4 linked regions of the Caenorhabditis elegans genome follow. The protein of the gene in region 1 interacts with the protein of each later gene in a pairwise test. Each region holds a gene or a part of one and is shown on either strand. Other genes may lie near its edges. The genes, in order: pal-1, pfd-2, gip-1 and aap-1.

What was found.
Region 2: the proteins of pal-1 (region 1) and pfd-2 interact in a two-hybrid assay, tested with the Caenorhabditis elegans proteins (one large-scale study listed by BioGRID).
Region 3: the proteins of pal-1 (region 1) and gip-1 interact in a two-hybrid assay, tested with the Caenorhabditis elegans proteins (one large-scale study listed by BioGRID).
Region 4: the proteins of pal-1 (region 1) and aap-1 interact in a two-hybrid assay, tested with the Caenorhabditis elegans proteins (one large-scale study listed by BioGRID).

What each region holds. Positions count from the first base shown.
Region 1 is NC_003281.10:4,804,207-4,810,659, forward strand, and holds pal-1 (Homeobox protein pal-1), read right to left. Parts: upstream 4,504-6,453; 5' UTR 4,503-4,503; coding exon 4,372-4,502; intron 3,896-4,371; coding exon 3,820-3,895; intron 3,766-3,819; coding exon 3,478-3,765; intron 3,154-3,477; exon of another isoform or gene 3,005-3,153; intron 2,943-3,004; coding exon 2,840-2,942; intron 2,666-2,839; coding exon 2,494-2,665; intron 1,048-2,493; coding exon 1,005-1,047; 3' UTR 503-1,004; downstream 1-502. Other genes in the region: rRNA N(6)-adenosine-methyltransferase metl-5, read left to right, coding at 32-138, 189-316, 367-480; C38D4.7 (C2H2-type domain-containing protein), read right to left, coding at 5,916-6,062, 6,107-6,161, 6,208-6,453. UniProt on the Caenorhabditis elegans protein: Transcriptional activator. Interacts with promoter regions for tbx-8.9, tbx-9, elt-1, hnd-1, scrt-1, and vab-7 genes. Binds the sequence ATTTATGAC. Binds to the enhancer region of the hlh-1 gene promoter during embryonic body wall muscle development.
Region 2 is NC_003280.10:4,324,954-4,328,823, reverse strand, and holds pfd-2 (Prefoldin subunit 2), read right to left. Parts: upstream 2,105-3,870; coding exon 1,835-2,104; intron 835-1,834; coding exon 679-834; 3' UTR 540-678; downstream 1-539. Other genes in the region: mog-2 (putative U2 small nuclear ribonucleoprotein A'), read right to left, coding at 2,957-3,488. UniProt on the Caenorhabditis elegans protein: Binds specifically to cytosolic chaperonin (c-CPN) and transfers target proteins to it. Binds to nascent polypeptide chain and promotes folding in an environment in which there are many competing pathways for nonnative proteins.
Region 3 is NC_003281.10:2,345,664-2,350,614, reverse strand, and holds the start of gip-1 (Gamma tubulin complex component protein N-terminal domain-containing protein), read right to left. Parts: upstream 3,025-4,951; 5' UTR 3,021-3,024; coding exon 2,948-3,020; intron 1,979-2,947; coding exon 1,886-1,978; intron 1,837-1,885; coding exon 1,579-1,836; intron 369-1,578; coding exon 164-368; intron 1-163. Other genes in the region: phf-5 (PHD finger-like domain-containing protein 5A), read right to left, coding at 4,034-4,201.
Region 4 is NC_003279.8:5,105,922-5,110,688, reverse strand, and holds aap-1 (SH2 domain-containing protein), read right to left. Parts: upstream 2,847-4,767; 5' UTR 2,846-2,846; coding exon 2,673-2,845; intron 2,626-2,672; coding exon 2,366-2,625; intron 2,185-2,365; coding exon 1,919-2,184; intron 1,692-1,918; coding exon 1,260-1,691; intron 1,180-1,259; coding exon 742-1,179; 3' UTR 551-741; downstream 1-550. Other genes in the region: Y110A7A.21 (MARVEL domain-containing protein), read left to right, coding at 44-148, 410-550; use-1 (Vesicle transport protein USE1), read right to left, coding at 3,131-3,268, 3,318-3,493, 3,542-3,676, 3,721-3,808, 4,068-4,143, 4,194-4,249, 4,301-4,396; pas-3 (Proteasome subunit alpha type-4), read left to right, coding at 4,644-4,767.

The sequences.
Region 1 (6,453 bases):
ATAAAAAATTAAAAACTTTCAATTCTTCCAGATGCGAGCTTCTACAAGCCGACATTCTCGACCCGGAATCCGATCTTCCACGTGGCACATTCGACGTGGCTGTCATTAATCCTCCATTTGGAACAAAAAATAATGCAGGTAAATATCCAACGATCTCCTAAAACGTTACAATATCTTAAATTTCTCAGGAATCGATATGCAATTTGTCCAAATCGGTCTTCAAATGGTTCGGCCTGGTGGAAGTGTATTTTCACTTCATAAATCATCAACTAGAGATTATATTCTAAAAAATGCAAAGAAATGGGACGGAGTTGGGGTTTGTTTTTAAATTATTCTAAAATTAGAAAAAAAAATATTGAGTTTCAGGCAGAATGTTGTGCAGAAATGCGGTGGCAACTACCAGCGACTTACAAATTCCATAAACAAAAGGCCGTGGATATTGCCGTCGATTTAATACATTTCAAAAAACTGGATAGTTAATCTCATCAATTTCTGCTGTAAATTCTTCAAAATTGTTTCATTGTTTTGTTATAAAAAATATGCAATCAAGATATGTGAGAAAAGCAAAGAATTCTCTAAACTTTTCCAAAAAATAGAAAACATGTTCAAAATGGATCCGTTCAGAGTGGGAAGTAAATACATAACAAATGGGGACCTAAACTTTTTCCTAAACCTTGAGAAGGGTAAGAAACAAGAAATCACAATAAATAAAGAAGCTCTATATTAGGGAATAATTCATTAGAGAATGATTGGATTAGTTTACAAAGCAGAAGGAATGATCGGAAAGTTATAAATATATATATATATATGTTAAGGGCAGTGATGATTAGAATATTCTGATGTGAGAGAATGGGAGATGGGACAGGAAGAAATTATATAAAAGTGTGAATTTAACCGTATTCAAGCGAGAGAAATGTAAAAATATAATAAATGTGTACAATATTCTAGAAAAATATGAAAATTCCCAGAATTTTTGTACATTTTCTTTGTAAGTAGATGAGTACTTATAGCCGAATCTTCTGTTTGTCACGACGATCCTTTGCACGCCTGCAATTAAAAATATTACAGTATTATTACGGAAATTAACAATTTATCAGAATATATTGAGATCAAAAAGATGCCGTCCCAGTGGTGAATTCAAAAAAAATACGCTTTTCAAAGAAAAGGGATAGGGAACATCAATCTTTTGGTTTATATTCCCTTTCTTTTAATGAATACAATGACCGGTATGGTTCGTCCGTATGTTACCTCTTCCCAGGAAAACGGCGGTCACGTCTGTCCAACACAGTATGTATGTCTGTTTGGATTGGGACGCTACAGGAAAGGGACACACACATTGATTTCCATTTTACAGCACTCTGGGAATCTCTGCCGACGACGTTTCTATTCCCCTCGTAAATCTTTCGATGCGCACTAATATTGTCAAACAAGGCAACAGACAACAAAAAAAACGACTGTTGAGCAGATAATTGGTATATCTCTGCGAGCTGGTCAGAAACCCTTGCTTTATCATTTCTGTAGACTCTTTCATTGAGCTAGAACCTCACCTAATTAAATAAAGGCAAAAACTTGAAATTTGGGGCATTTTGAGTATATTTTTTTGCAAACCTACAAACGATACTCTCCCTTTAACATGCGAGTGAAGGAGATTAACAGTAGCACTTTACGGGAAGTGTTTTATCCCAATAACTTGGAAATTCGCACTAGATATCCTATTCCCTTGTTAATTTCCAAATCCCCGAACGCGTAGATAGCCACACATGCAAGCAGTGACCACCTCTCTTCTACAGTAATACCAATTAGAAAGTCGTAAACGGACCAATTAACAAACTTCATCTCTTCCTCACCTCCACCAGCACGTCTCAAACACTGTGGCCTCCAATTACACAACTTTACGACTCTTTAATTCCTTGGAACTATCTCTACTGCGCGCGTGGACTGAACTGAATCTTAAAGAACGAAAGTGTGGTGGTACTTTTTCCTATGGTTACAGTAGGAGGTGACAGTCATTGTGATGAGTCCCCTGGAAAAGCCTGAGAAAGAGTAAGCAAACAGCAAACAGCAAACAACGTATTTGGCTCGAAAGGGCGCGGAATGAATGAATTCAAATGAGATTTGCAGAGGGCAACATCATCTGTTAATTAAATGACGTTGTGAAATATGTGTCAATATTTGAAGTCTAATCTCATGATTCCAATAAACCAAATTAAACTTTCAGATCTATTAATATGACATCTCACACCATAACAATCCCAATTTGCCACCTCTCATCATATAAATTGAGGTCACTCTAACACTCTTTCACGGCTAAAGACTCTCCTGCTACCTGCCACACGGGTCGAATTGCGTAAGCACCGTAACTCATACACCGCATCACCTTTACCGCCTTTCATCTCTGTGCCAAATCAAGAAAACTTGATATTATTTTGGTGTCTTCAAATTTGTAGTAATCAATCATCCCATTTTAGGCAGTGAGTTTAAAAAAGAATCTACCTATTTTGAAACCAAATCTTGATTTGTCGTTCTGTCAAGCTTAACATCGTCGACAATTGGGACTTGCGATCTGATGTTATGAATGGCGATGTATGGAATTCTTTTTCCAGTTCAAGGCGTTGATAATCCGAGTAAACCATACGGTATTTGTCAGCTGTTCGTACACGGACATCTGAAAATAAGTTTAATTACAAACTCCCTCGTAATAAAATGGGAAATTGATGGGAAAGGAATCATAAATACTCAATTCATTTGTCCTAGTTACTGATAAATATGACTGATAGCGGCTTCTTTTTCACTTGAAGAGAGATTGTTTGCACACGGGGAGACTCTTTTGAAAACTTACTATTCGTTCCAGGTCCCGTTGGTAATGTTTTCCCATCACTGCTTGATCTTCGATCCTTTCCATGATTGTTTCCAAGAGGCATTTTCCACGAGAATCCCTGAAACTTAAATTATCTTTAAAACAAGCTCACTTGGAGGAGAACTAACAGATCAAAAATTGGCTGCTTTATTAGACTTATTAGACATTATTAGAGATATTTATTAGACAAGTTACCACAAACGACAGAATTTCCTAATTTTATGGCAGCTTAAAATATCGAAAAGAGCCAAAAATGCTGAAATCTAAAATTTTATCAACTTATCCTTGTCTAGTAGCTGAAATACAGTTTTTAGTAAGTTTTCATTTTTCATTGCATATTTTGGTAATTTATCTCGTGTTAATTCGTTGATTTAGGCGCGTTCTAAGCCGATAGGCACTGAATTTTTGTAATTTTTGGAAGTAGACTGCTTAAATCAATGAATAAACGCGAGTAGCCGTACCTAAAATATGCAATAAAAAATAAAATTCAATAAAAACTGTACCAACAATTTAGAGTCATAAAAAATGTGAACAGTTTTTGAAAAGTCTCGCTAGGAAATTATGTTTTTTGGTGTTATAAAAGCCAACAAAGGTATTAAAATACAATTTTATATGATTACCTGTTGATAATCCATAAACGGCCAAACAGATTGCTGATAACACGTGGCAGCTCTCATCTGGTAGTTGGCTGCAGCAGCAGCAGCTGCTGAAAGCTCTGAAGAAGATGCAGCTCCAGATGATGTTGATGGGAACGGTGTCATCATATCACTCGGTGATGGATACATTCCACTATCACTACTGCTACTTCCATTCGAAAGCGGTGGCTTCACATCAACGGCTTCTACTGCTGGAATTTGTCCGTTGGCAGCGAGTTGTGGAAGGCCGAATGGATAGAGATCCGGATGTCCCTGGAAATTCAATTTTTAAATAAAAAACCTTAAGGAAATTCATTCAAAACGTACGTAAAAACCAGTATCACCCATTTGTGACCACCTTCCATAGATTTGTGGATCAAATGTTGGTTGCAGCATCTTTTCTCTGAAAAAAGAAAATTAAGTATAAAATGAAAAAAAAAAACAAGAAAAACTTCAAAATATAGCACCTCCTTAATCAAATGTTCTTGTCAATTGATACACACACACACGCCTATTACCTCTTAGACACCCTCCCGCTTCATTCCAACGGTGGAAATGGGCGGAGCAATGTCTTCCAATACACTGTGGAGGCGGGGCGTTACCGTACCCTCCGGATAGATCGAAAATTTGCATATAACCTTTCAAACAAATTCTATCATCAAAAAGGCGACAATATTTGAGAATAAATACATGGTTAGCAAATATTTTGAAGGAGATAAATAAGAGAAAGGGCATGGATTTACAACCATGTGTGTGTGCTGGATTATTAAATATTTATGGTATTTAATTTTGTTCACTTGGTCGTAATGAAACACCAACAGGAAATATTTAATTTTTCGTTGATTTTGAGATTCCAAATAAAAATTTCGAAGATCTAGCCTCAGAGGATGTGGTTGCATGAATGGCATCATTGGATAGTGAGGCCACGTGACATCTGCTGGAACTGTTGTTGGTGAAGGTGTTGATGAGGACTCGTTTTCCGAAAAATCCGACTTGACATCGACCGACATTCTGAAAACGAGGAAGTAATTATCAGTTTATATAGAGAAAAGTGAACAGTAATAAAAATTCAAAATTTGAAGGAAGATTTTCGAGATTTGATGAGAATAGCAATAAAATAACGAGCTGGCAACCCGGCACCGCCTCCTGCGGCTCATTGAGCACTTGGGAAGGCGGGATTTATCAGATATGAACGGGAGAGGGAATTGTGAATGATTTATAGCCACACGTCGATTTTCAGACAAACATATCACTTTTACAATGAGACAGGTCGGCAAGGAAACAAAAACGCCCAGTTCGTTGGGAAATAAATTATTGGTCTGTGCAGGAAACTGTCCGAGACTGTATTCGAAGATGGATTTTCTTACTTTAATAAAATATGCGTTTTTAGAATTGATTTTTAGCATTGAAATTAGCAAGACAAATATAAAAGAAACGTTAAAACTCAACAGAAATGAAGAACAGAAAAAAATTAACACTGAAAAATTTTTACTGACTGATCAGCTCAATAGAGCGCACTTTCCACTTGTCGATTTACGAAGATTTTTATTTAATTTATTGTTCAATAGTTAACTTGCTGTTAAATATCTTTTTATTTAAATAAATATTTTAAAAATTATAAAATTTTGAAAAAGATTAGAAAAAATCATCTAGCCAAAAATTAAGAAAAGAAGAATTTTAGCCACTAAATTTAATTTCAATGAGATCCCGCCTTTAAAATAATTTGAAAAATAGATCACTCACCTCATATTTGATCTACTCGCCCAAATAATAGTAAGTCTACCGGCCATTGAGCCCATCTGGAATTGAGGTTCCATTACGATGTTCATTAGGAAATAAATGAGCGATGAAAGTTTAATTGAGTACGATACGAATGAGCATTTATGACTGACAGGTTCATGTGGAGCAAAGATTACGGTAGCAGAGAATTATTTCTCTTATCAGAAACGAGTGATCTATTAAATAGTTATTCTAAAAGTTGGAGATTCTTAACAAAAAATGTTGCTGAAATCGACAATTTGTCCTCCAAAGATTTGATATAAAAGGCAACAATGAGACCGCCCTTTGACTGATTATGTACCTTCTTTCAGAACATTAAACATTTACGATCTGGGAACTCTGCAGCTGTCATGAAGAACAACAAATGGAGCATCTGAAAATATCAAAGAGTCGCTTACTACTCGATTTCATGCACTATCAAGTTTGACCTGAATATGACCCGGCTGTCTGTTGCGTAATCGTTTTGCTCTTTGTGCATCTATGATACCGCCGTGAGAAGAGCCGCGTCTCGTATTTATTGCCACCCACTGTTGGGAATAGTTAGATAGCTGGTAGGAGAAACAAGATTTATTTACTATAAAATTTATTTGTATCAAAAAAGCTTAAATTTTAAAACAAAAACGAATATAAATTAAAAAAGAAATTTAACACGAGGTCTGCTTTATTCGCAGTGACCTTCTCGCCCCAAGTTCGCCGGCGTGGTTGTTTGAAAAGTGATCCACGAGCTGCTCCTTCGTCTGGGAAACTTCATTGCAGGTCCTGCATCGGAAGCTCTTGAATTTTTCAAGATCCTGAAAAACAACTTCAACTAATTTTTTATAATTTTCAGGCTTACCTTATCGTACTGAGATCCTTTCCCCACCAGCACTGCACCGATGAACACATTATCTCTGAAACTCTCATTTAAATTGAAAAAAAAAACACAACTAGAATTACCTTTCAGCAGATCGTCCATGGTTTCTGTTTTCCTCATCTCGAATCTTTTTCAACTCCTTTGCAGCATCAACAGGTGCTCCGGTCCGCTTGGCTAAATTGGATTGACGAACAACGGCAGACTTGACTCTTTTCGCTGGTTTGAGGGAGCTGGACGATGGATTCTTTTGACCAACCACATCATATGACGAAGCGTGGCTCCTATCGACACGTTCCACGAGAGAATGGACAAGTGCCATCATCTTATCC
Region 2 (3,870 bases), on another chromosome or scaffold:
TTTCATTTTTCTAAAAAAATTGAGAAAGTTCGAATTTTTAAAACTTTTTTTGTTGAGTTTTTTGACTAAATTTATTGATTTTTCTTCACTTTTTGCAGTTTTTTATAATTTGAAACATGGTTTCCCATTTTTCCAGACATTTTTTCTCAAAAAACTGTAAAAGTACCCTAAAAATCGATAGTTTAACATTAAATTATACTTTTTATGGGAAAAAATTTGAAAAAAAAAACCATTTTTTAAGTTAGTAATCAATCAAAAAATGACAAACTTGAAAAATAGTTTTTTTTTCAATTTTTTTCGCAAAAAATATGATTGAATGTTAAATTATCGGTTTTAGGCTACTTTTTCAGTTTTTTTCGAAAAAAAATTCTGAAAATGTGAAAACGATGAAAAAATCGATGAATTTTGTTGAATAACGGGGAAAATATCGAAATTTGGAAAAAAAACTTATTAAACCAAAAAATGTTTTTTTTTTCAAAAAAAAAAAGATAAAATTGGATTTCAAAAACCATAATAAAGCAGTTAAAAATCGAAAAAAAATTCAAATTCAATTTATGCAAGACTTAAGTTCTTTTAACGGGAGCATATAGAAAAAAGGCAACAAACAGAGTAAGAAAAAACGTATGAAAACATGAAAAAGCAGTAGGAAATCGAGAAAAAAATTAAAGCAGGGGAAATTTAAGCTTTTGGCAATTGTCCAAGAGCTTCAGCTTTTCTCAGCTCGGCAGATTCTTTCTCAGTGAGCAGACGAATGTTGTGTGTAGTTTTGTGAGTGTTCAGCTCTTTTCCCTTTTCGACGAGCTGATCGTTGAGCTGCTTCGAGACGATTGTCAACTGCAAAATTTTATTATTTTCGGTAATTCTGGTCAGTTGCACCATGTTTTTCTGCTGAAAATTTGTGACAAAATATAGAAAATCACTCGATTTCTCTTTAAATTACACTATTTTCAATCGAAATATCCAAGATAGAGCTCAAAAATTGCCTGAAAGTTGAACAAAATTCAACTTTCAGACCATTTTTGACCGTTTTCTCAAATATTTTCGTTGAAATTACTGTTATTTTAAGATTAAACCGTTAATTTTCCATGTTTTGACACTGATTTTCAATGAATTTTCGCATTAAAAATGGCAAAATGGCTGTGAAATCATGGTCTTGTGTCGATTTACGCAGCTCGTGTACTCCACGAGGAGAAGTCTGTTTTTTTTTTCAATTTTTTGTATTTAACCATATTAAAATCGTATTTTTACAGTATTTCCCAGCGCAAATTGGGGGTTTCGCTATAAAAAAAACGGAAAATCTGGTTTTTTTTTTCAATTTTTAGGTGTAAAAACGCGAAATTTTGCGCTAAAACTACGATGTCTGATCTCGACACGACATTTGTTTCGAATACATGACGCTGCGCACCTTTAAAGAGTACCCGAATTTGCAAAGTTTCCATCGATTTGTTTATATTTTTTCATTCGATTTGTTAAAATTGAAGTGTTTTATCGAAAAACTACGGAAAATCAATATAAATTCCACAAATTTCAAATTACAGTACTCCTTGAAGGCGCATAGCTTCCAGATACCGTATTTTTGGTGCAACAAATCGGAAAATTCAGTGTTTCAGATGAAAAAATATTTTTTTTTGCTTCAAAAAACTGTCAATTTTCATCGGAAATACTGTAAATCCCCAATTTAAAACGCGTTAAATATAGAAAAAAGGTCGAAAATCAGGTATTTCAGCCGGAATCTGTAAAATCTTCTCCACGAGGAGTACACAAACTCCGTAAATCGACACATGACTGTTTCCTCCGCCTTTTCTTCTATTTTTCCCGACTTTCAAATCCTCACATTAGCGATATTATTCTGCAAATCCGGAATAACATCCTTGACAGTATACTCGACAAGTGTATCACTAATCAAACGGAAGCATTTCTGATCCGGTTCAAGATCCTTGATCACTTCGAGAACACGTCCAAATTCACGTCGTTCCTCTTCGATTCGAGTCACTTCGGCGGCGATATCCTGTTGTTGATCACGTAGAGCCTTGAACTTTTCGACGACTTTTCGTTGCTCTTCTTGCTCGGCTGGAGTGGCGGCGGCGGTTTGAGCGGCCGACATCTGGAAGTTGTGGATTTTTTGAAAATAATTGTTTTAATGGTAGAGAGCCAGTTTTTTTTTGGTTTTTTTTGCCAAAACTGACCAAAAAAAATTTTTATAATTGAAAAAAAAAGATTTTTCAAAATATTTTGCAAAAAAACTAGTGAAAGCCGATTTATTTTTGAATTTCTCACCGATTTTCTACATTTTTGTATTTTCCGGCTTTTTTTATCGGTTTTTCATTGTCACATTTTCAGTCATTTTTCAGCAAAAAAAGTTGAAAACTCTAAAATTAGCCAAAAATCGATAGTTTTTGTGAAAAAAAAAGTCTAAAATTATCGATTTTTAGGGTAATTTTAGAGTTTTAACGCATTTTTTTAAGGGTTTTGAAGTTTTTTTTTTGCGGAAAAATGACAAAAAAACACAAAAAATGGATTATTTTAGGCGAGAATTCAAAAAAAAATCCGCGTTTTTTCCAATTTTTAAACCTTTTTTTTCCAAATAGATATTTGAAGGCGCTGGGAAGTTCCCAGTGGGAACCTCTCAAAATTAATAAAATAATAAAAAATAGCCGGAAAACACAAAAATGGCTGAAAAAGGATTTTTTTCTAACTTTTTGTTGCAAAAATTTCAAAAAATCAAATATAAAAAGGCACGGGGAACCTTTGAAAAATCGATAAAAATATCAAAAATAATAGGGGAAATATTGTTTTATGGTATATAAAAATTACAAAAAAAGGGAAGACAGACTGGGAAAAAATTGGAAAAAAATGAGAATATAAATAAAACAAGGAGTATCATTTTAACATTAAAAAAATCAAATAAAATAAATAAATAAATTTTAGCAGCACATTCTGCAATTTTCAAGATTTTTCAAGACTCCATCGCTTCCCCATCGGCACCATTCTGATCCATCTGACGATTCCATCCCTTTTCCGGAACCTTTCCCGATGCCAGAATCGACTGAAGATAGTTGACTTCACTGAGTGACTTGGCATTCTTGATCGCTTCCTTGATCTTCTCCCGATCTTCATCAGTAAGCCGAGCACCTCCACCCGAACTATTCTCATTTGGTTCAATTTCTGATGGATCTTCTGTATGAACACTCTTCTGAATCGCATCTCTCGCCTTCTTTCCACTTTTTCCTTTGAACATCTTCTTCGCAGCTTCACGTTCTGTCAGTCTGACTCGATTGAAGTCAATCACTCGAACCGTCGGCAGCTTGTAGATCATATACATCCGATAATTGTCCTTGTGAGTTATCGGATTTCCGATAAATGTCACGTACTCGAGCTTCTTGCATTCTGCCAGTGGCTCAATGTCTCCGAGCTCGCAAATGTTGTTGTTGGTCAGTGCAAGAGTTTTGAGATTTGGAAGTTTTGTGGCAATGTCGGGTGCGATATAGCTGAAAATATGGGGTAAATTGGTGGGAATGGAGCTCGAAAATGTGGGAAAAAAGCAGTTTTGCAATGAAAAATGGAGGGTTTTTAATTTTTTTTCAGGAAATAGTAACCATAAAATTTAAATTTTTGAAGAATAAATTAGAGAAAGTATTTTAAAAATTTGAAAATGACCAAAATTTTAGGATATTTTCTGAAAAATCGATTTTTTCCCCTACTTTCCGAAAAAAACTTCGATTTTTCGAAAAATGGCTTAAAATTTTTCGAACTTTTTCAGGAAAAAAATTATATTTTTCCTATGTTCTTTCATAAAAAACTGATTTTTTCGTTTTTTTTTTTTGGAAAAAATAGCGAAATCCGGCTAAATCTGAATTTTTCGCCAACTTG
Region 3 (4,951 bases), 2.5 Mb from region 1:
AAAAACTCATTTTTTCGCGATTTTCTGAAAAATGTCGTTAGATCTGGTGTTGGCGTACTTTTAAAGCTACAGTAACCCGGAAAAAGTGTGCTAGGGGTGAAAATTAGCGGTGAATTCGGTATTTTCAACCAAATTTCCTCAAATTTTCTCGAAAATTACGCACGTAAAAAGCTGATTGCTGGCGCTAATCGGCTGAACCCTCGTAGTTGGTATTCCATTAATTGTATACGGACTCCGTGGCCGTTGAGCCATATTTCCAGCCAATTGGCGTTCCATTCCAAGCATTCGATTGTCATAGGCAGTAAATGAGGAATTGGCACGAGAACGAGACGATGAATCGGCAATTGATGGAGTTTGTTGGTCTCCGGCTGGAAAATTCACTAGTTTTATGGAAAAATTCGCCAATTTTCTGTGAATTTCCAATTAAAAAAAAATGATTTTTCATGATTTTTAAAGCGAAAATAGGCTTGAATTTGTAGTTTTTCTCAATTTCAATACATTTTTACATAGAAATTTGTAGAAAATTCGAGAAAAAACGCCAAAGTTCTAATGGGTGGCCTAAAAACTTGCAAAAAGTTAGGCCACAGTGTTTGGGGATTTGCTCAAAATTTGATTTTTGTGGAATGATTCTATGGAAAATTGCAAATCTTATTGCGAAAATAAAAATTTGAGCATAGCTTTTTGGCTCAAAATCAGCTTGGTGGCCTAGAATTCCATAAAGATCGGTCACCGAAAATTTCTTAGCTGAAACCGATTTCAACACTTAAAATCCATCAAAACCCCAAAAATATGCTAAAAATCGGGTGAAAAATGAAAATTTGGGCATAGCTTCCGCATCTCCGAGTGACAAATGTGCTCTATTGTCAAATTGTTGGCAGAAATACGGTATTTATTCACATTTTCAGCCCAATTTGAGGATGAAAATGTGAATAAATACAGTTTTTAGTGCAAACAAAAAAAAACGAGTAGAGGCACATAAGTCACAGGGGAAAATAGTTCAAAAATTTTGTGGCCTAGAAATCCAAAGAGTTCGGCCACCGAATGATTTTAAATCCAAAAACCACATAGAATTCAGTTTTTATATTCAAAATTCGATTAAAAAGCGACTCTTCGCCAAAAAAAAGCCTCAAAAATTAAAAAAAAATTAATGAAAAAAAACGCAATAATTGTTGCTTGAGAATTAGAAATTTAATAAAAAATTTCTAAAAATCCGAGTTTTCCGACTGGTGGCCTAGAAATCCAAAAAGTTCGGCCACTTAATCATGGCAAAAATTTCGTTTTTTTTTCTATTGAAAATTAATGAAAAAAAAAACTTTTTTTTTTCAATTTTCCACATTTTTGTAGGTTTTATTTCAGCATTTTTTCTCGAAAATCGAACAAAAATAAGCACAATCTTCAACTTTTAAGGAGAAAAAAAATATTTTTATAAAATTCAGGTCAAATTTGACCGAAAATGTCTAATTTTTCGAATTTTTAATGAAAATAAATGTCAATTTTCAAATAAATTATCGACTTTTCAGTGATATTTGCTCCGTTTTTTCACAATTTTTCGCGGCTAAAACCGGTAAAACACCGAACTCAGCGTGCTGAGCACCCGTCCACGACTTGCAGATCTTCTTTGAAACGGCGATGAGGATGGAATCGAATTGGTCGGGGTACCTCCAATGGATCCCAGACCAATACTCGGACTATTTCTTATTGTTTCATTATGAAATAAGTGAGCCTGTCGACATCTCACAAGAAAATCCATCATATAATTCATTTCTACCGATTCGTTCATCAGAGCATCGATTTTTTTGCGAAGCGGTTTTATTCCGTTCGGATCACGAAGTTCGCCTGGAAAACTGCCGCTTTTTTTTTTGGTTTTTTCCCTGGAATTTCATACATTTCTTAACAAATTGATCTACACATGTTCTCGAAGCGTTCACATCGTTGAGCTGACGGCTGTGGAATAGCCCTTCTTGAACTTTTATCACATCTGAAATACAGAAAATTGCAAAATTTTGATTAAAAATCCGTTTTTCTACGGAAAAATCGGCTGAAAATGGTTTTTTTTGTGCAAAAATCGCGAAAATTCACAAGTTTTTCGGCTTGAAAATGAAAATTTGGGCATAGCTTCCGCATCTCCAAGTGACAAATGTGCTCTATTGTCAAATTGTTTGCAGAAATACGGTATTTATTCACATTTTAAGCCAATTTAAGGCTAAAAATGTGAATAAATACCCGTTTTTACTGCAATCAATACGAATAGAGGCACAAGAGTCACAGGGGAAAATGTTCAGAAGTTTGGTAGCCTAGAAATCCAACAAGTTCGGCCACCAATTGATTTTAAATCCAAAAACTGACTAGAATTCGGTTTTTATAGTTGAAATTCTAATAAAAACCGATTCATCACCAAAAAACCGTCTAGAAAATTTCAAATATCTCAAAAAAAAAAAAGACTTAAAATTAAAATTTTGGTTTTAAAATTTGAATTATTCAAAATTCAAAATCCCCGTTTTTATGTAGAAAATCAAATAAAACGGTCTATTTTTAATGGGTGGCCTAGAAATCTAAAAAAAAAGTTAGGCAACCAAGAGAAAAAAAGCCGAAATTGGAGTTTCTCTAGTAAAAAACGAGATTTGAACGAAAAATTCAAAATAAAATTTTTGGCTCAGAAAATCGTGGCCTAAAAAAATCCAAGGAGTTCGGCCACCAATATATTCTTTTGATGAAAAAAATCTGAACTCTTATTATAATTTCAGGAGTTTTTCTGCAAAATGTCGTAAGATTTGGTGTACCACAGTGTTTGCGTACTTTTGGTGCTACCGTACCCCTCGAAATTCGAATATTTACTTGAAATTATTGATATTTTATGGAAAATCTCATTTTTTCGTCAGAAATTCGATTTTTCAGTCAATTTTTCGGCTTTTTCGGTGTTTTTTCTTCTAAAATTCAATCCAATTACCTCTATCATGAAACCCGAAAGCATTTAAAAATTGCTGTACAGCTTCAACTTCTTCGCTGCCTTGTCGACGCATTTATCTGAAATTTTTCCATTTTTTTTTCATAAAATTTCAAGTTTTTGGTTAATTTTCTCCAAAAAATATTCAGATTTTAGTTTTTTTTTAAACAAAAATTAAATTTCTCGCAAAATTACCCAATTTTCAGGAAGAAAAATCGATTTTTAGTGATTTTAATTCAGAAAAATTCGGGGAAAACTGAAAATTCCCGTAAAAAATAGAGATAAATATACACAAATAGGTAACAAAACCAGCACAACACAGCAAAAAAAGGGAAAAATTACAGAAAAATCGATAATTTATTCGAAAATTGATAAAAGGGTAGAGGAAAATTGGAAAAAATGGGGGAAAAAGACAATTTTTAAGGTGAAAATGAGTGAAAATATCGATTTTTCAGGCAAATTTCAGGGAAAAATTGAACATTTTGAGTGAAAAAAAGGGCTTTTTGCGGAATTTTAAGTGAAAATAGGCGAATTTTCAGCCAAATTTCAGGGAAATGGCATATTTTTAACTGAAATAAGTGACATTTTGGCTATTTTTCACGGAAATTCGAAATTTTTAGGAAAATATTGTCATTTTAAGCTAATTTTTCAATAAAATGGTAACATTTTCACAAAAATAGGCAAAAATGCCAAAATGTTGCCCAAATTTCCAGTAAAAAAGGGATGTTTTAGGGAAAAATAGTGGAAAAAATCGCGATTTCAGCAAAATTTCGATAAAAACAACGAAAAAAAAAGGCAAATTTTCACAAAAATAGGCAAAATTTGGTCAAAAATGCCAAAATTTTGACATTTTTGCTCAATTTTCAGGGAACAAAAAGGGAATTTTACGATTTCAGCCAAATTTCGATATTTCCAGCTCATTTTTAGCCAAATTTCAGTCAGATTTCAAGAAAAATAGGAATTTTCAGCGGAAAAAAGTGGAAATTAACAGAAAATTGGAACATTTTTGATAAATTAGAGGTGATATAGGTGAAAATTCGGCGAAATTTTGTGATTTTTCGCTCATTTTCGCCGCCAAAAAGCCAATTTCTACGACTTTTTCGATCCGAATTTCTTTCGTTCGTAGAACAAATCCGTCTTCGCACTTCCCAAATTCACAATTTTCGGGCATCCGTCACGATCCTTTTCGAGAATTGTGCATTCTTTGCAATAATATGCATCACTGACGCCAGCGCCACCACAAATCACACACCGACCCTGCAAAAAAAAAAATGGAAATTTTAATTTTTAGCCGAAAAAAAACATGAAAATTTCGCGTTTTTCCGATTTTTTTTTAGAAAAATTTGTAAATTTTGCCGTTTTTCACTCGTTTTTTGAGAGAAATTTCACAAAATTTTGCATTTTTCAGTCGAAAAATATGAAAATTTTTCAATTTTCCTGGTTTTTCCCCTCTTTTCTGAGTAAAAACCCGTTTTTAATGGAGAATTTGAAGAAATCCAGTCAAAAATTTGAATTTTTTAAAGAAAAAATTAGTAAAAAAAAGCTGAAAATTGCACTTTTTTGAATAGCGTTTTTCACGCGTTTTTTGAGAGAAATTTCACAAAATTTTGGATTTTCGAGCATTTTTTGCGGAAAACTGACAAATTTAGCGTTTTTTACGCCGAAAAGCTGGTAATTTCCGCAAATAATGTCAATTTTTAGTGGAAAATTTGAATTTTTCCATATTTTTCTTTTTCCAAAGTGAACTTTTCAACGTTTTTCACAATTTAAAAAAAAAAAAAAAAAAAAAAAAAATATATATGAAAATATCCTGAAAATTGGAGCATTTTGAGGGGGAAAAGCTGGAAAATTGAGAAAACTTCAATTTTTTCGAGAAATTTCACAAAATTTTCGACTTTTTAGTCGAAAAAACATGAAAAATTCGAAAATTTTCCCATTTTTCACGGGAATTTTCAGATTAAAAATTAAAAATTTATATTTCGAGGCATTTTTTTTCGCTAAAAACAC
Region 4 (4,767 bases), on another chromosome or scaffold:
TAAGAATATATTGAATTATTTATTTTTTTCGAGTTTTCTACAGGAAAGCGTCTTCATTTCATCATTCTCATTTTTGTTCACAATCAATACACTGACCATGTTGTACAGTTCGATTCGATGGAATAATACGGCCTGGTGGCTGGCAACGGTATGTTATGCAAAATGTGAAAACGCGCTCCACGGCAATTGACAACGCCCGCCCCCAAACCATGGGTCTCGTTAGATATTTGTCGGCAAAACCGTAAATTCAAACTTTTTGACTTAATTCCGCCACTTTGGCGAAATAAGCAAAAATGAAAATAAAAACATTTGAATGTACGGATTCGCCTCCAAATACCTAACGAGACCCATGGTTTGGGGGCGGAGCGTTTTCAAATTGCCGTGGAGCGCGAAAGAAAATCAATTTCAGGTTGTCTGCGCTTTGGTGACAGTCTCGTTTCTTCTCAGTCTGTTACATGTGATGAAAAACCAAACGAAAGGTCATATTACTGTTAAACAGGAGGAGAATGTTGTGCGATTTAATACGCGGATGAACCGCCGACGGATTTGAATTTATATCAATAAATGTACAATTTGACAATTCATATAAATACTGATAATAAATACATTTAAGACACAAATAAAACGTAAGTAACTTAGAAGAAAGTGATCAGAGAACTGTGGGTTTACTATCAGATCGGATGGGGGACAAGTGGATGTAATTGAACCGAGTATATGTAAGTAATTGATTTAAATATATAACTATTCCGGGATGGATTTAGGAAGAGTAGTTGGATGAACCAATCGGGAATCAGATGATGAAGGAGTATCCGGAGATGGAGAATCCCATGAATCCGGTCTTGGTTCCGGTGATTCAGGTGGCTTAGTGGGATCATCAGTGAGAAGAGCCTTCTCCATATATTTCCTGGATATTGGCAAAGCCGTAAAAACTTGTCCGGGTCCGTTACGAAGAGGTTTTGAAGTATCACTTGTGACAGCGTCAAATGCGGGCGTACGAAGTGGAGTTTTGATAGCATCCGCGTGGGTTTCAAGACTGAAGTGAGAGTAATAGCGAACGAAGTCACTTATAGTTGTCAGGTAGACATTGCTGTGCTCGAATCCCCATCCTTCTTCGTTTTGTTCGATTAGACAATGTGAGACACGTTCTCCGTGAAGTACACTCAATACGAGCTTATCACCCTGAAAAATATTCAATTCAATTCAAAAATTAGCGTGAATGAGGATGAAAAGTTATTCTTCTGATAAAATCATAAACTAACATGAGAAGAGGATCCTCGAATCAAGAAAATACCATCTTGTGGCTCTCTTTTCAATCCAACAGCCTTGTCAAGTTGAGCGATCCGATAGCGAGCATGAATCAGAGCATTCGCAGCATTTTCCTTAGAAGTTCCACACATCAAATATTGTGCCGGTGTCCACTTCAATTCCATATCGACAAGAAGTTGAGTGACTTTCGTTGGCTCACTGTTTATCATTTCCGCTCCAGCATCAAGCATTGCAGCCATTCTCGAACAAAGTGCTGGTTCCATTTTATCATAGACTGCACTACGAAGTTCCATAAGCTTGCAGAGTCGTGTTTTTGAATTGGATCTTTTCATCGCGATTTCATCCAAAATTCCGGAGAGCGTCTTTTTCTTATCCTTTGATGACGTCAGTTCAGTGTTTATTCGTCGAATACTTTCTTCCACAAACTGCAAAATAAAAAAGATAAAATTCAAAACTATAATGGTTAAAAATTGAGGATTTGCTCTAAAATCATTTTTAAAAAACCGAGAAAAAAATTGAGCAAAAATTAATAATCCAGCTTTGAAAATATTGAGTTTTGGCTAAATAACAATTTTAAATTGAACTTCTTTTTTTTGCTTTAGAATTGTTTTTTTTTGGTTTTGGATGTTTTTTTTCTTCAAAAAACGCTTACTGTCTTATTATTTGCAAATGCTCCTTTGAGCATTTCACTTGTTGTCTGCGATCCCTGTATTTGTGTAACGACGTCTGTTTCAGCTTCTAACAAATTATTCAGTTTTCCAAGTTTAATCTCATTGTCCCGAACTGATTGATTCAAAGCATGATAGAGACTTTCAGCTCGTTCCATTTCTTGATGAGCTGAATCATATAGCTTGGCTCCTCTCTCAAATGCCAAATGTACTGCTCTCAAATTTTCCATTTCCAAGCGTTCTCTCCAATCTAAAAAAAGCATTAAATTTACTAATTTTTATTTTTTTCAATCACTCAGACGCGAAATTTTGCCACTTTCGCGATAAAAATATGGTACGAGGTCTTGAAACGACAAGAGAAATTCCGCAGCAATTAAAGTTTGAAATTACAGTATTTTTAAATTTAGCGTTTGCGTTATAAAATAATTTACCATGATCATTTTTTGCACTGAGAATCATACGCTGCTGAAGTTGCCCCTTCTTGAAAAATGGTTTTCCATTTTGAGAGTTACGACGAACAGAAACTGGATATAAAAGACGAACATCAAGTGCATCATTGAAAATATTGAGAGAAATATTTCGATGAAATTCAATTAATCTGACAACAGAATCGTGAGTTAATGAATCTGTATTGAATCCGCATTTTCCATCTTTAACAACGATTCGGAGAAGTTTCACTTGGGCGGCAAATCTGAAAAAAGGACTATTAATATTGAATACTAATTTTGAAAAACCCACTTCACAGAAAGTGTATAATCTCCAGGTGTACTAGCATTTCTCACAATAAATGATCCATCAGGTTGATCAGAAAGTGCTTTCGAAACTGCAGATCTATCAGCATCAGCCCAGTACCATCCTTGTTCCATAAGACTATGAGTGACTCCATGAGGAGTTCCAGGTGTTGTGCTCATTCTGAATCCTTATATATATATATATATATATAATTAACGGAGGAGAAGAATCTGTGGTGTTTTTGCCGAAGTAGACTAAATCTGGCACAAGACCAAGCCGAGACCAAAAAGCAAAGCATTGAAATTTGTGAAAACACCAAAAAAAACCAACAAAAAAAGTATGTATAACATGGTCTGTAGACCAATGGAAATATCAACGAGAAAAAAAATTCGAAGAATGCAAATAATTAAATAATTTTATTTGAAATATTTACACCCATAAATACTAGCAATTCGTCCCGACTATTAAGTGCTCGCTTTTTTGAAAATTTTCATCATAAGAACCATTGATACGAAGCTCATAAAAATCAGAACAATGAGCATGACCTTGAAACAGTCATAACCACATTTGTAGGCGTGACGCTCAACTCGCTCACTTTGAATCTGGAAATTTTAAGACTATTATTTGAAGTTTATATAGTGAAGAAATTACCCCGAGAGCTGTTTTATTATCATCGACTTCTTTCGCCATTAATATTGCTCTTTCTGTATCTTCTTTAATCACATCTCCAGCAGCCGACATCATCGTTTTGAATGATCTCGCCATAGTGGCCAAACTATTTGCTAGCTCCTCCTCGACAAGCTCATTTTTCATGAATTCCTGATCTTCTATAAAATTTGACGAATTTTGAACAATCATTGGATACTAATTTTTACCAGATGTGTCTTGTGCTCTATGTTTATTAGATGAAAGCAACTGCTTCCGAAGATCTGATCGATAGATGGATCGTTGAGTAGCTCGGAGTCCAGCTGCGGATTCTTTTTCAAAATCGTAACTTTCCGCCTCGTTATCTGCAATATAAACATTAAAATGAAATATTGAATAATTCAAAAACCATTCTTGGAGTCTGCAACAGTTACTTGGACATCGGGAAATACACGTGGAATTTTTTCAATCACTTTCAGGCGCTCCTCGGCTGACGACTGGAAAACTTACTGACAATTTCATAACAGTTGCGAAATTCACAAAATATTTAAAGCTGTTCAACTTGTTTTCTTTACTTAAATCTAAATTGAAAAGAGGGACATAAAATCTACGGAACATTTGCATAATATTTTAGGATTAAATTTTTAATTGAAACAAATCAAACAAATTCAAATTAAGTTTAGAAATTATGTAAAAATTTGTATCTTTAAAGCAAAATTACAAGATCGAATTTGCTTGTCTAAAATATCTACAAACCTTGCTTTCAGCTTCAGCGAGTAATTTCAGTTGCAAGACTTCCTGTCGGTACTCGTGGAGAATATCATTTGTGGTTCTGGAAAAGTAAAACTATAAATATTAAAAAATGTATTTTGAAAAACTCACTCATCGTTTTGAAGTGTATAAATCATTTTATTGAGAATCTTTGTAGCTGCAGAAACCTGAAATAAGAAAAATAATTAATTAAACAGAACTTAAAATGTGATACTTGCTTTCCAAACGTTTGCTGACATATCCTCTTTTGTCAAGCGCTTTGTTCGCTCGAGAAGTCGTAGAAATTTCAGCTCATTTTCAGAAATATACGCCATTTCATTGATGTTTTGACAAAATTAGATAAAAAAATAAAAATAAACGTTGACAACTTGAAAACAAATAAGTTCGGCCACGGCCGAGAAATACAAAAATGCAAATGCGCTCATGCGCGAAAAAATTTTCAAGTCATCCTTTTTGTCGAGGACTGAGAGATTCTTCTTGTTTTATGTAATTTTTCTATAGGTTTCTGCCGTTTATATTTTAAAATCATATTTGTCTAGATTATCTTTATATTTTCAGAGAATGGCCCGTCGTTACGATAGTAGAACGACCATCTTCTCTCCGGAGGGAAGACTGTATCAAGTCGAATATGCTATGGAGGCTATCAGCCATGCTGGAACTTGCCTCGGCATTCTCTCATCGGAAG